Pelodiscus sinensis: one gene and its partner. The protein of the gene in region 2 binds, or shares a complex with, the protein of the main gene of each other region. Links are inferred from orthologs where the notes say so. Each region holds a gene or a part of one and is shown on either strand. Other genes may lie near its edges.

The links.
Region 1: the proteins of ACVR2B (region 2) and GDF2 are in contact, whole or in part, in a crystal structure (PDB 4FAO), measured with the Homo sapiens proteins. The link is inferred for Pelodiscus sinensis from reciprocal best matches to the Homo sapiens genes ACVR2B and GDF2. Residues at the interface, in NP_001097.2 of Homo sapiens: Asn35, Glu39, Cys49, Glu50, Glu52, Lys55, Leu57, Tyr60, Ser62, Arg64, Val73, Lys74, Cys77, Trp78, Leu79, Asp81, Phe82, Asn83, Glu94, Gln98, Val99, Phe101; in NP_057288.1 of Homo sapiens: Arg333, Ile346, Ala347, Pro348, Lys349, Glu350, Tyr351, Glu352, Lys397, Ser399, Pro400, Ile401, Ser402, Val403, Leu404, Lys406, Gly410, Val411, Pro412, Thr413, Leu414, Tyr416, His417.

What each region holds. Positions count from the first base shown.
Region 1 is NC_134718.1:5,221,880-5,229,016, forward strand, and holds the start of GDF2 (growth/differentiation factor 2), read right to left. Parts: upstream 3,016-7,137; 5' UTR 2,784-3,015; coding exon 2,453-2,783; intron 586-2,452; coding exon 1-585. UniProt on the Homo sapiens protein: Potent circulating inhibitor of angiogenesis. Signals through the type I activin receptor ACVRL1 but not other Alks. Signaling through SMAD1 in endothelial cells requires TGF-beta coreceptor endoglin/ENG.
Region 2 is NC_134712.1:245,474,631-245,481,851, reverse strand, and holds the start of ACVR2B (activin receptor type-2B), read right to left. Parts: upstream 3,009-7,221; 5' UTR 2,164-3,008; coding exon 2,112-2,163; intron 1-2,111. UniProt on the Homo sapiens protein: Transmembrane serine/threonine kinase activin type-2 receptor forming an activin receptor complex with activin type-1 serine/threonine kinase receptors (ACVR1, ACVR1B or ACVR1c).

The DNA.
Region 1 (7,137 bases), on a different chromosome or scaffold from region 2:
CGGGGTCGGATATGGATTTCGCCTCTCCCTCCTCTTCCTCTTCAGGCAAAGTGCTGTTCTTGGCTAACTTCTTCAGCATGCTCTCCTGCTCATGAACTATCATTTCCCGGAGCTCCAATCTGGTCTCCTTGCTCCCGTTGCTGTGGTCGTTGGAGAACACTACCAGCAAGGGCAGTTGTGTCGTGTCGGGCGACACACTGATGTCCAGTTTCCCATAAACGGAGTCCCCCTGGGTTTTCCGCTCCACCACAACCTCAAGCTTGTTTTTGGTCTTGGGTTTGTCTGCCCTGACCCATCTTTTCACAGCACCGGACACCTCAAACATTTCCCATCCGCATTCCTGGATCTCTCGGGAGACAAGGAAGGCTTTGGCGCCTTCTGGGCTTTGCCAGAGATGTCTATCGGTAACATCATAAATGACTAACTTGCCTTCCAGCCTTGAGAGAGGCCCGACGTCCCTACTGCAGGCAATGTGGAGTCGCAGCTCAGCTCTGGTGATGACTTCGTGCCGGGGGATAGAGACGTTGAAGAGCAAGAGGTGTTTCTGAAATGGATTTTCTTCTGGGGAAGCCATAGAGACAACATCTGCAAGAGGAAATTAAGAGAGGCGGTCACCCTGCCTCCTAGGATAGAGGCTAATCCAATGAAGACGAACGCACTTCGCCGGTGGCATGCTATGTTTCAGAAGAAATGCCCACCCGTTACTAGTAGCTGCTGGGAGTGACGTTACACCATGGCCACCAGTATTAAATAAATGAACTGGCTTCACTCCAGAGTGAAACCCAGAGGGAGGTCCCTATGGGTAGCAAATCCACCAGGGATCAAGTTGTGATCCACAGTAACCTCACCTTCAGACTCCCTGTGTGTGTGTGTGTGTGTGTGTGTGTGTGTGTGTACATGAGTGTGATGTGTCCACACACAAGGTGCCAGCACAGCTCCAAAAGTGGGTGGTGTTGGCTCATGAGGGGCGTGTGCAAATGCAGTGGCTTCCCATAAAGGCTCTGCCATGTGGCCTCTGCAGAGGAATTACAGCTGTAAACCTCCCTGGGGGTTGGTAGTACAAATCCCACGACCATGATCGTGAGCTGGGGCAAATTCCCCTTCCCCTGGAGGGGGAGGCTCAGGCATAGGGATATGGAACCTACATCTCTAGTTTATAGCTATCGTAGCTGAGTTTCCCCACAAAACATCTTGCACTAGGGAGGAACCAAAGTGGACGATCAAACCCTTTGCAAGTCTGATGGAGAAGCTCCTGGCTCCGGCTGGCTTGGGAGCTTGGTATTCGGAAATGGAGCCTTTCCTCTCCCAATCCCTGCTTCTGTTCCCGGGCAGGGCTGGCTAGTCAGAGACGTAATTCCAGCCAAAGGCCATGGGAGCTGGAGGTGCGAGGCATGTCTGTAAGGGGTTTTGGTAAGTTACCCCCAGCTGATGGCTGTGAGATGGGTGGGTGGGTGTCATCTCACAAGCATCCACCCTGCCAAAAGCATCTTCCCCAATCTCCCTGGCCAATCAGAGCAGAGGAGGGGCCAGGGAGCCTGCACCCTAGCTCACACCGAGAAGGGGGTGTGCTTGTGCGGGAATGTGGAGACGGCTGCCACGCTGTCGTCTGTGCTGGGTCTAGATACATGGACATTTGAATTTGTCTTGGCTGGTTCTTTCGGCCAGCACCAAATTCACTTAAAACACCCCCGCCCCTTTTATTGATTCTAACGAGAGGGCTTTTAAAAGGATTGAGTCGTGTGCTGTCTTAGATGGCTGAAACTCTGCTGAAAAAGGTGCTGGGCCGCAAGGAATTTTTTACATTCGTAAGTGACGCAGGAAGCCCAGAGGTGCTAGGGCCAGCCTAGAGACTGCTACTGAGTGGAGAGGTTTAGGGCCTTTGCCTGGGCAAGGCCTGGCACAAATTAAGCCCTGGATGGTCGGGTATGTTCCTGAGGTGCTGAGCGGGGCTCTGAACCAAACCCCCCAGCCCCACTCACTCCCGATCTCTGAATGCAAAGGCTGGTGTTCCTAGCAGCAATCGGGAGTCCCATTTCCCGTTCGACTCCTGTCTTTACAAAGGGCTGGAGCAATGCCCAAGGGCCAAACATCCTCCAGAGTTGGGGGTGTTGGAAAACCTACCCCCAAATTTTGCAGCTCAGCCCCAAATCTCAGCCCCAAAACAAAGGCAAGGCAGCCAAGTTGTGGTGACTCTGTTTGGAGAGTTGGAATATTTCGTTTGCTTCTTGGAGAAGCAAGAGGGCACAATGTGGACTCAGAGAAAAGGATTTAGGACCTGGAAGAGTATAAGAGAAGAGCAGCGGAAAGGATAACAAAAGAGACTATGCCGGGGATTTTCCAAAGAAGCCCAAGGGAGTTAGGTGCCTGAGTCCCTTTGATTTGCAATGGGATTTGACACGGACTCTCTAGCTTCTTGTCCAACCCCGGTCTATAGGTGTAAGACATTTCATACCTTCTGCACTGAAGCTCCGCACGACGTTGGAGGCCGGGCTGGAAGACTTGTCCGTGGCATACTTGTTGTACAGATCGATCATGAACTGCGGGGGCTCCTCTCTAGACCTCTCTTGCAAAGGGACGCCGGATAAGTTCAAACTCCTCAGGAAATCGGCTTTCATGTTTTCCAGGAAGGCTTTCAAGTTGAAAGGGGTCTTGCCCTCCACCTCGCTGGGCTCACCGAAGGATTTCTCTGATAATTTACCCCAGGCTTCCAAGGGCTTGCCTCTTGCCACGCAAGCGATGATGTTGAAAACCAGCCAGGCCGCCGTCGCCCCCCACGAGCACATCTTTCACGGATGCGCCTCCGTCGGAAAGTGGGAAAAGGACCGGGTTCTTCCAGCTGACTAGATCGCGCCTCCCGTTCGAGGCAGAAGAACGGGAGACGGAAGGCGAGCCACTGGAGTGAGAGCCCTTTGCAAATCACTTTCTCGAGCTCGTTTGCAACCCCCCAGCCTCTTGTCAGTTGTCAGGCAGCTTGGTTGGACACTTGCCCTTATCTCAAGCCATGATGCCATGCTTCAGTTTCTGTTATCTTGCAAAGCTCTTCGTTAATGAAGATTCTGTAAACATCTGACAAACATGTGGCTGGACATTGTATGCTGCAAAGAATCCACATTTCTCTGCAGGGTCATCGTTGCTTAATTATGCTCTTTTATCGTTGGGGGCGGGGTTGGCCAACATTGACAGGGCTTCAGAGGAACTTTTTTAACGGGGCGGGGGGTGGGGTGGAGGAAAAGACTCTGGTTTTCCCTACTTCCCCCCTCCACCCCATGCCAAAAAAATAACAACAGGGAGTAAGAACAAACTACTCAATTCGCCAGGAGAAAATATCACCCCTCAAATCTATACCACGGTCCTTTACGCCTGTCCTCCGAAAATCAACCATCTGGTTGAACCCTGTGCTTTTAGCAAGCTGTGCTCTCATGACAATACGAACAGTCTTAAAATTGCTTTCCATTTATCGGCCAAGAGCTATTATTTGTACAGAGTGAGCTATCTGTCTTGTGTCAAGTTTGCCTCAACTTGTTAGCCGGCTTGTCCATTTTTAGTTTGCATCCTTTAGTGGAAGGGTAAAAAAAAAAATCTGGCTTTGTAGTATGTTATGTAATGTATTTTCTTAGAATCCTCTACATGAGGTCGCTGGTTTAACTAGCTCATTCCTCTGTCACTGCAAGAATGACTAATTGTTCTTGAAGATAAAGCCAGGTTTACTAAGCCGGAGTGAAACCTAAAGTCTCTATGAAGTCACTGAACATGAGCCAGGGAGATGTTTGATTTTTCATGGGAATATTGGCCAAGACAAAAATAAGAATTGTGGTAGAGTTTTGTGCATCTCCAGGAGGAAACTCTCCAGTTAAAACATTAAAAAGATGACTTGCAGCTGAATCTAATTGAGCCTAATCTGCTCTAATCCAAGTGTAGATGATAATGTTACCAATTCTGCCTGGCTGTGTCTACATTGGCACCCCTTTCCGGAAAAGGGATGCTAATGAGACACTTCGGAATTGCAAATCCGCGGGGGATTTAAATATCCCCCACGGCATTTGCATTTACATGGCTGCCACTTTTTTCCGGCTTGGGGTTATGCCGGAGAAAAGCGCCAGTCTAGACATGATTTTCCGGAAAATAAACCCTTTTCCAAGTAGGAATAAGAGATCTTCCGGAAAAGGGTTTATTTTCCGGAAAATCGCATCTAGACTGGCGCTTTTCTCCGTCATAATCCTGAGCCGGAAAAATCGGCAGCCATGTTCATGCAAATGCCGCAGGGGATATTTAAATCCCCCGCGGATTTGCAATTCCGAAGTGTCTCATTAGCATCCCTTTTCCGGAAAGGGGTGCCAATGTAGACACAGACGCTGTATTTTTAGAGAACCAATTGACACCTAGTATCTGGGTGCCATGTTGTCTGATTGATCTCAGTTCCTCAGCAAAATATCCCATTGCAAAGACCCAGGAAAGGTTTTGCCTCTAGACCTCATTGCTGGTTGCAATAGCTGGGATGACTTTATCCCCTCCTCTTTGTTTTTCAGCAATTGAACTAGAGGTGACTTATCCATTATCTTGTCCAGGACTGATTTCTTATTACCCCACCTATTGTTATCCAGCTCCTCTCTTGCCCATTTTAAATACCGGCACAATGTTAGCCCAGGTATTCTACCATGTAGGACACACCGGAAGTTTACCCGGCATTGCTGGGGTCCTTGACTCAATTTTTGGGTTTTGGAAAATACAATAAAAATATTCACGCTTCATTTGAATCATTGCTCTGGAGTCAGGCTGGGGAGGAGGGGCTCAGTTCACAGGGGAGAGGACTACCCCAGCACCCTCTCATGGCAGCCGCTTGGGGTCAAGTGAGAAGCGCCTCTGCAAGGCCACTGCAGCGCCAGTGGGCACAGCTGGGGGAGGCGTGCCTGTTCCCTGGCTGGCGCAGGTCCGGATTCATCTGCCCCCTGCCCTCTCCAGCCAGAGAGAGGAATGCAGCAAACACAGCACTCCCCTCACTCCCTGATGAAGGGGAACCGCCAGCAATGTTCCCCTACAAATGGGAGCAGGAGGGAGCTTCAGCCCCACCCCCCGCCTTCCCTAAAGGGTGCATGGGGGGTAGGAGCCTCGGAGCTGGAGCAGTCTAAGATGGGGGGGAAGGGTGCACGTGCAGCCAGCCTCTTTCACCTGCCTGGTAAGTCTGTCTCTTTTCTGCATGGTTTGATGAGACGCAATCCCATTCCACGCACTCCCCATTGTCCTGGCACAACCGAAACCTGACCTTGCTTTAAGCCACGACAAGAGGAAGCTGCTTCCCGAATGTGGTGGTCCTAGCTCTTCCCGCTGAGGAGTTCTTGGACAGACAGACAGACAGACAGACAAACTCTCTCAGATATATAGTAGATTAACATCAGTGAACCAGAGATCTCCTCAGCCAACTTCTTTTGTACACTCGGTGCAAGTTTTCAGGGCCTGCTGATAGACAATATCTACTGAGGGAAATATTTTTATAACAGTCTCCTCAGGAGCTAACAGGCTGGAAAGGATTTCCTCAGTTCATGGGGTCACCAGTGAGGGGATATATAGGATGCTCTCAGCCACCGATGGAGATAGGTTGAGCACATCCCCTTCAAAAGAAGACTGGAGTCAGGGTACGGCAGCAAGGCTGTCACTCCCCCAGCTAACGAGCAATCGCAGTCGTTTACGGCAAAGCCTAAAGGATTGAGCCAACTCGCACTGGTTCTGTAGGAGTCGGAGCTGAACCTAAGCGCTTCTTGCTCACAGCTCCACTGTGCTTTCTATTAGCAAAGTCTTGACTACTTTTGCCTAGGCCTCGGGTCTCTCGCCAGGCCTGTGATACATGGGCAAGTGTTTCAGGCCCACTTCCTACTCCAGAAGTAGGCAACACTTGATGGCTTCTGTCCACAGGAGTTTGCTCAGCCCTGGAACTGGCATCCCCTGCGGCCAAGTAGGGATGGAGCAAACTTCATGCGCCGCCACCCGCTTCTGACAGCAAAAACCACTTCATGGCTGCAGGAGAGGGGACCGGACCTTGAGCCCACCCAAGCCCGACTGCCCCAGGTGGGGTGGGGGCAAAGCCTGAGTCCCATCACTCAGGGCTGGGGAGAGCCAAAGCTAAAGCACCAAGGACGTAACAGGGGACCTGTAACCTGAGCCCCACCCAAGGCTGACGCGCTCAGATTTTGGCTTTGGCCTTGGGCAGGGGGACTCCAGCTTGAACCCCAGGCCCCAGCAAGTCTAAGCTGCCCCTGGCAACCCCATTCAAATTGGATCCATCTTGGGGTCCTGACCCCACAGTCTGAGACCCAATGGCCTGAAGTGATATTTTTTTCAGGTGCTCCAATTCCAGACTCTCTTTCACCATGTCATAGCTCAAAAGTCATCGGCTGAGGGTCAAGATTTTCAAGTGACACGTAATTTTTGGATGCCAAATTTGACCTGTCTTAGAGGGACGTGATTTTGAAACGGCGAATGCTCTACGCTGTCTGAAAAGCCCCACGGGTGTCTCCAATGGGGCAACCCAGCACAAAGGGCCTTAAAATCAGTACTCCGTTTGGAAAAATCTTAGGCTAGGCCTTTAAAACCTAAAAGCTTTGCCCATCTGGCTCTCCCGGCAAAACCTCCCAGTGGAAATGCAACTTGTAGCAGCAAGAGTTCCTTCGGCAGAATGATTTATGCCAGCTCTTTGAGCAAAGTATCCAACTGTGCCTAGACTAGGCCTTTGTCTGGCATCGCAATGTTGGGCCGGTGTTGTGATTTCTTGCGCTCGCAGATCTGAACACAAAAGTTAGCTCTGCAGGCGTAACTCTTAAATGGAGCCCAGGTCTTCTGCGTTTTAAGAGCACCCAGTGGCTATGTCTACACTGGCATGATTTTCCGGAACTGCTTAAAATGGAACAGTTTTCCGTTATAAGTATTTCCGGAAAAAGCGCGTCTACATTGGCAGGATGCTTTTCTGGAAAAGCACTTTTTCCGGAAAAGCGTCCGTGCCAATGTAGACGTGCTTTTCCGCAAAAAAGCCCCAATCGTCATTTTCGCGATCGGGGCTTTTTTGCAGAAAAGAAATCTGTGCTGTCTACACTGGCCCTTTTCCGGAACAGTTTTCTGGAAAAGGACTTTTGCCCGAACAGGAGCAGC
Region 2 (7,221 bases):
TGGCACTGCATATTTAATGGGCACTCGGAACAAAGAACCACCACCAGCAGCAAGAACCTTGCGCCTGGTAGATTTCAGCTAGTACGATTCCTGGGAACACATTCCAAAACAAACCCAACCCGATCTCGCGCCCTTTGCCCCCCCGACCCTCTTTGCAGAACCGGACAGGGTCGCCTCCCGGTTTCCAGTAAGAAACCATCTAACCAACGCAGTGGGAAATCTCCCCCCACCCCCGTCTCTCCAAATTTAAAATAAAAATAGCCAAAGGACAAGAAAACTGCATTCACATCAGATGCACACAAGCAGCCTAGGGTACAACTGTAGCACACTTCCCCCCTTTAAAACTAGCAGCCTCCTGCGATCCTTTATTCACAACGCCTCCGCCACCCCCTAAAAATACACACCACACCAACCACCCTGTCTCTGTTCGGTATTGGATACAACGTAACAAGTTACTACACACAGACTTCCCCTATCAGAACACCAGATGTGACAAAATAAAGATCAGATTAGGATCTATTATGTTTGGGGGGGGGGGGGCGGAGGAGATAAAAACAAAAAAAGAAAATTGCCGTGTACTAGTGGGAAATCACTCCTTTCCCTTGCAAAATGAGCCCTGGAACCATGGTCCATGGAGGGAAATGCACTGATTTGGGGGGGGGGGGGGGGTCAAATAATTAAGTCTTTCTATTTTGTAACAAACCCATATTAATAACATTCATGTACGTGTCTGTAGGATCAAAAGATTGTGTTGCTGTGTGCGATTTGTAACCTAGATCATTGTTTTACCAATCCCCAAAGGGTGAGCTCTCCTCCTCTCCACTCCTCATCAAAACAAGGAGGGAAACCACACAACAAAGCAGCCCTACAACGCTAAGGCTCGCCTCCCAGAAATGGCTCTAGCTAAAAAAAACACCTCTTTCCCCCTTGACAAAGGGGACACTCCGGTTTTGTAATAGCTCAACAGACCTAGCAGAAAGGGAATATTTTCATAAGTACACACCACATATCCCTGAAACACTGAACTACCCCCTAAAAACCCACAGTTAGTGTCACATGCGCGCCCCACCACGCCCCTTTTGCCCCAAAAAGACAGCTCTTCAAGCTAAAGCAAATGTAAATCAAATGTATCTCAACGCTTTGGAAGATTCATTTTGTAGCATGGCCTTCTGATCCCCTTAGCACGTCCAATGTTTACATTAAGTTCCATCATGCCACACAATATCCCCATGAAAATGCAAACCCTGCAGATTTGTGAAGTTTTCAAAAGGATCACGAGGGAAGGTTTAAAAACAAAATACCCCCCCCCCCAAAAAAAAAGCCTCTCAAAAGATGGGTTCTTCCGCTTCTCTCTTACAACTTTCTATTATGTCACCGTGTCACAAATCAGCCTAAATGACACATCTCATAAAAATAGCAAAAAATCTATGGGATCATAACATTTCATTAAGGGGGTAAGGGAGGAGAGACACGCTTCGACCGACTATCAGCACCGTTTAACTCTGGCAAGCTATTTACAAACGGTCCCTTTCAAAGAATTAAAAGACACGATCAAGAAGAATCTTGTGGAAAAGGCGAGCAACGTTTCTTAAGGGCTAGTAAACTCACACGAAATTAACACATTCATGAAAAAGAGAAGGGGGAAAGAAATCAAGCAATTTACACAACGCAACCTTGCAAACCCGGGAGTAAAAAACATATGGCTCTCTCTACCTGAAAAACAAAACAGTTACTAACAACCAAAAGGTTTTCTTTTTTTTTTTTTTTTTTTTTTTTTTTTTACTACGTTCAACTCGATTCTGACACACACCATGCCATTTTACAAAGTTTCCTAGGAATCTGAGGCCAGGAACACTAATTCATTCACACTCTGCTTAATTAAAGGAACACTGCAGAAACATAATCCATTGATATCAAAACCAACAACGAAAACAGGAGGGTTTCTTCTAAAAAAAAAAAATCTTAGGAACAGCCTTTTCCCCCCACTATTCGTTGCAGTTAAGGGATATTTAAGGGGAAAGGGAGGTAGTTTCGAATAACTGCACACCATTTGATTCTTTTTTCGAATGTTAATACAAAACTGGTGAAGGGAAAGACAGAAATTTACTTACCTGCACCGAAAGTTCCACAAAGAAAGGCGAAAGTCAACCACGAAGCAATCATATTCCTTTACTTTTTCCCCCCCTTGTGTTTCCCCCTCTACCCCCAAGGGGGGAAAAAACCGATCGGGAGAGCGAAAGGGGCGGGGGGCGAGGTTGGAGGAAAATGAGAATCGCTCCCGAAAAACAAGCACAACAAAAATAAGGCTCCCACAAAAGCGAGTTGAGTTCCTTCACAGTTGCAACAACGTATCCAGTTCGAATGGGGCACCAAATGGCAGCGCCAGGACAGCTGTAGCCCGGTAGCCGTCCGGCTCCTGCTCCGAGCTTTCCAAGAGTTTGCTCGGCCGGGGCTTTTGTGCAAGGGAGACAAGCGTGCAACACACCAACTCTCTCTCCCCCACCCCCCACCCCAGCCCAGCCCCTTCTGCCTGCCCCAAGCAGCGGGGACGAGGGACAACAACACGCACGCACCCAAAAGACAGGGAGGAGGAGGAGGAGGAGGAGAAGGAGGAGGGGGAGATAAGCAACCCCCAGCAGCACGCGCGCGACCCCCGCAGCCGGGCGGCCACCACCAAATGCAAAGCGGGCGGCAGCCCCGAAACTTTGCAGCAATGTTACCAACCCAGCATCCAGGGAAGCTGCTGAGCAGCAGGAGGCACCAGCCCAGCGGCTGCCGAGGAGGAGGAGGAGGAGGAGGCGGTGGCTGCCCCGGCGGCTGAGCGGCGGCTGAGAGAGGAGGAGCGCAGGGAGCGGGCTCCGAGGCGGGCAGTGGCGCGCGGGGCTGGCTGGGGCGAGGGTCCGGCCCGAGGCATCGCTCGCGCGGGGAGCGGGCGGCGGCGGCCGGCGCGGGGCAGGGCGGCGGCAGAGGCTGGCTCTGGAGGGGCCATGTACAAAAAAAAAAAAAAAAAAAAAAAAAAAAAATCCTGAACCGAGTCCAAAATGGCTCCTGCGGGGGGAGAAGCCGAGCCGGAGCCGGCGGGGGACCCGGATGTTGGATACAAAGGCGGGCGGCGGGGCGGGGGCCGGAGGGGGCTGAGGCAGCCCGGCCGCTGAGTGGGGGGAGGCGCTGCCCGTCAAGGCGGGGGCGGGAAAGGAGGGCGAGCGCCGGGCAGCCCCCCCCCCCGGCCGGGGGCCCCCTTCCCTCCAGTGACAGGCCAGGACTTGCCCGCCCGCGCCCTGCCGGTGGCTCGGGGCCAGGCGCAGATGCCAGGGAGGAAGGGGCCGGAGGGGCTGGTGGGAGCTTGGAGGGGGTGAGCTGCCCCGGGTGGGGGGGATTTCGGGGACACCCCCACCCCCGGCGGAGGTTGGTGTCAGCCCCGACGCAGGAGGTTTTATGTCCCTCCCAAACTTTGGCGCCGGTGGGTGACCTCCCACCTGCTACTCCCGTGCCCCCTGTGACTCATCCTGGCCGCTTTCTGATTCCAGCCACGCTCCTGCTCCTCTCTTGTGGCGGTGAGTTTCAGAGGCTCTTGGCGCCAGCTCTCTGGACTGCACTGTCGCTTTAGCCTGCCCCGTCCCGCCAGGGATGTACAGGGGGGAAGGCAGCTAATGCTGCATCCCTGCTGGTAAGCCAGAGGTGGAAATGGGGAGCCACAAGAGTCAAAACTGGAGAGAGAGGACAGTCCAGCAACAGATGTGAGAGAGCAGGGACTGAGGGGGCGATCAGTCACCTTCTGCTCCAACATCTGAAAGCCAGAGAGTGCAAGAAAAATGTGTTCTCTCTCAGAAATCATAGAAGACGTTATCAGAAAGTCATGAAGAAAGAGTGTCCTTGGAAGAATGAAGAGAGCTGGCAAACATGCCCTCCTACTACAAAGCAACTGCCATTAAATCAGATATGGCCAGTAGTGACAAATGGGACCCAGCAGATCAAACAACGCGGGAAGTCTTCTTCTGAGAGAGATTTACGGGGGTGTTTCAGACCAGCTGCACTTTGTCAACACTTAAATAGCTTGTTATGCGATAAAGTCTTAGGGTGGGAGTTTCAAATGCTGTCAGCATTGGCCTAACTCTGCTTCCATTAAAGGCAGTGGTAAAACACCTATAGATACACTGACATTCAATCCCGATTTTTCCGGGACAGTCCTGACTTTAAATACTCTGTCCTGGTGTCCCCATCAAGTAGTGAAATGTCCCAGAAAGCCCTGCCAGACATTTCACTACCTGATGGGACAGCGGCTTGCAGGAAGAAGCAACCAAGAAATGACTCTGTGCCATTGCTCCTCACATGATACAGCAGCCTCCTTCTTCACCACCACCCTCCCCTTGGCAAAGCACATAGGCAGCACCATTGGATCTTTGCCAGCAGGCAGCCAGACCAGCTTTTGGAGGTATGCGGCACCTCTTCTCTCCACTGTCCCTGTGGGACCGCCTCTGCTGTGCAGAGAGGATAGGAAGGGGTAGCTACAGATGATCAGAGTAGGGCTAGAGGCGGAGTAGACACAGGGGGAAGAGATGGGCTGGTGCAGGGGTCAAGAAGGATGGGGAGGGGGACAGGTCCCCAAAGGGGTGACGGGAGTGAGAAGGTCAGGAGCCAGGACACCAGAAGAGAGTGAGGGATAGGGGGGCAGCAGCAAGCACCAGGGGAGCAGATGGGGTAAGGGGAGGAGACATGGCAGCAGAGGGACAAGAGAGAAGTTTATAAGATATTAATAAATATCATAAAATAAATAACAGTGGCACACATCTGAACAAGCGCACATGAACTCAATAGTGGTGCACAAGACAAAATTCACTCCACTCATGGGAGGAAAATCTTAGAGGGAACACTTCCTCCAGCCTCTCTCCCCAAGTTAATGCAATACAAGCTGGGTTAATGCACTTGCAGGCTACTTGCATGGGGGGTCCTGTGGGGGCCAAACCCATACCTATTGGTAGAACAGTGGGAGGACTTCTTAGAGAGATCACAAACATGAAGCTTTAAACAAAATCTAGAGGCTCCCTGGGAATACTTTTATAAGAGCTCGTGGCCAGGGACCATCTTTTTGTTTTATGTTTGTATGTCTAGCACAGTGGATCCTGATTCATAATTGGTACACTCTCCTAACTCATAAAAGGCTTCCTAAGAACAAATAAATTATTATGACTTTGATACCAGTAAAGAAAAATGCATGTGAGATGGAAAAATGCATGCAGTAGTTGTGATTTTCTATATGGCAAAGGCACTTTCAGAAAAATTACAGAGTAAGTTTGCACTAACAGGTGGTGCATGTGGAACAGCTAGTGAAAATGCAAGTCACCTATCAATAAAGTAGAGGGAGTAACATTACAGGTAGCAAGAAAAAGAGGGAAAAACCACATCCCACAGAGCAAAGACAAGACCTACAAAAATGTTTCAAGAGGACAGATACCACTGGTCACGTGTGGCAAAGGAGAACACAAGACAGAGAAGAAGGCATGTCACCACTACATAGACTATACTGGCATAGCTTTGTCAGCTTAGCCATGGGCATCTGTTCGCCTAGGCAGGGGAAGGCTTTGCATTCCCAAACTGACAGGCATGGCCCTACCTACACTGTGCCCCCTGCACATTCCTCCCTCCCCTGGTGCTCTGGGGCTGGGGAGGCTGGGGCAAGCACAAACCCACCTACTCACCTGCCTTCCCTGTGAGGGCAGGGAAGGAGCAGAGCCTCAGCAGAAGGGGCAGCGTTGGAGGTGAGGCCCTAACTTCATCAACCACCCATGAGCTTAGCAGTGCCCCATAATGTAGATGCAGAGTAAAACTATAGAAGGGCATTTTCTGCCAGTCTAGGACACTAATGCTCTGAACAATGTTGGCTACATTGACAAAAGCATTCTACTGTAACCTGTTCGTTCTATACAAAACACAGCCCCACAGCAGATGGCTTAAAACTTAGCTGTTTTCGTTCAGATCTCAAAGCACATGTAAAGCTATGCCTTAATTAAACTTTATGACCCACCTAGAAGTAAACAGAGGCCCAAACTGGGTGACTGATTTGTCCAACACCACAAGTGAGTTAGAATTGGAACCTAGAGATTGGAACACCTAATCCAGTCCTCTGTATATTTAAATTATATCTCCATTATTAAACCACAGTGGTTCCATTCTTCTCTGGCCAGCTATAGGTGATTACCAGCAGGCCTAATTCTTCACTGCTTTGCACTTTCATTCACAATTCTGCAAAGTAGGTGTAAAATGCTACAAATAGCCACAGACACTCAGTTTGCAAAAGTGCAAGAAACTGCAAAGCACAAATCAATGACAAATAAGGCCCCCTGGCTTGTCTGTGGAAGAGTATTTGTCACACAAACACCAAGATACAACTTCCTTCTATTATATTATTTCATATTTGGATATTTTTAGGGCTGTCAGGAGATTAAAAAATAATTGTGATTAATCACATGAGTAAAAAAATTAATTGTGATTAATCATGCAATTTATTGCATTGTTAAACTAATAGAAACCCATTTATTTAAATATTTTGGTTGTAGTCTACGTTTTCAAATATATTGGTACCTTCTTTGTGTTGTGTGAAATCTGTAGTGAAAGTGTTCTTAAAATGAACAACAGGTGTTGGGTCACTGTCTGAGACTTCTATAACATGGAATATGGTAGAATGTGGGTAAAATAGAACAGAGGACATACAGTTCTCCCGCCAAGGAGCTCAGTCACAAATTTAATTAACATGTTATTTTTTTAGAGAGCATCATCAGCATGGAAGCATGTCCTCTGGAATGGTGGACAATGCATGAAGGGAAATATGAATGTTTAGCATACCTTGCAAAAAGTGCCTGTGTACAAAAGTGTCTGTTTTTACTTTCTTGTGATGTAAATAAGTCGTAGCATTTTCTCCTGCAAATGTAAACTTTTTTTCTTAGAGATTGGCTGAACAAGAAGTAAGACTGAGTGGAACTTGTAAGTTCTGAAGCTTTACATTATTATGGTTTTGAGTGCAGTTATGTAAAAAAATATACATTTGTAAGAACACAGAGATTGCACTAACGTATTTGTCAATTGAAAAATACTATTTATTTTTATCATTTTACAGTGCAAATATTTGTAATAAAATATATATTTGGATTTCAGTTGCAACACATAATGCAATACATCTGAAAATGTAGAAGAAGAGCCAAAATATTTAATACATTTCAGTTGGTA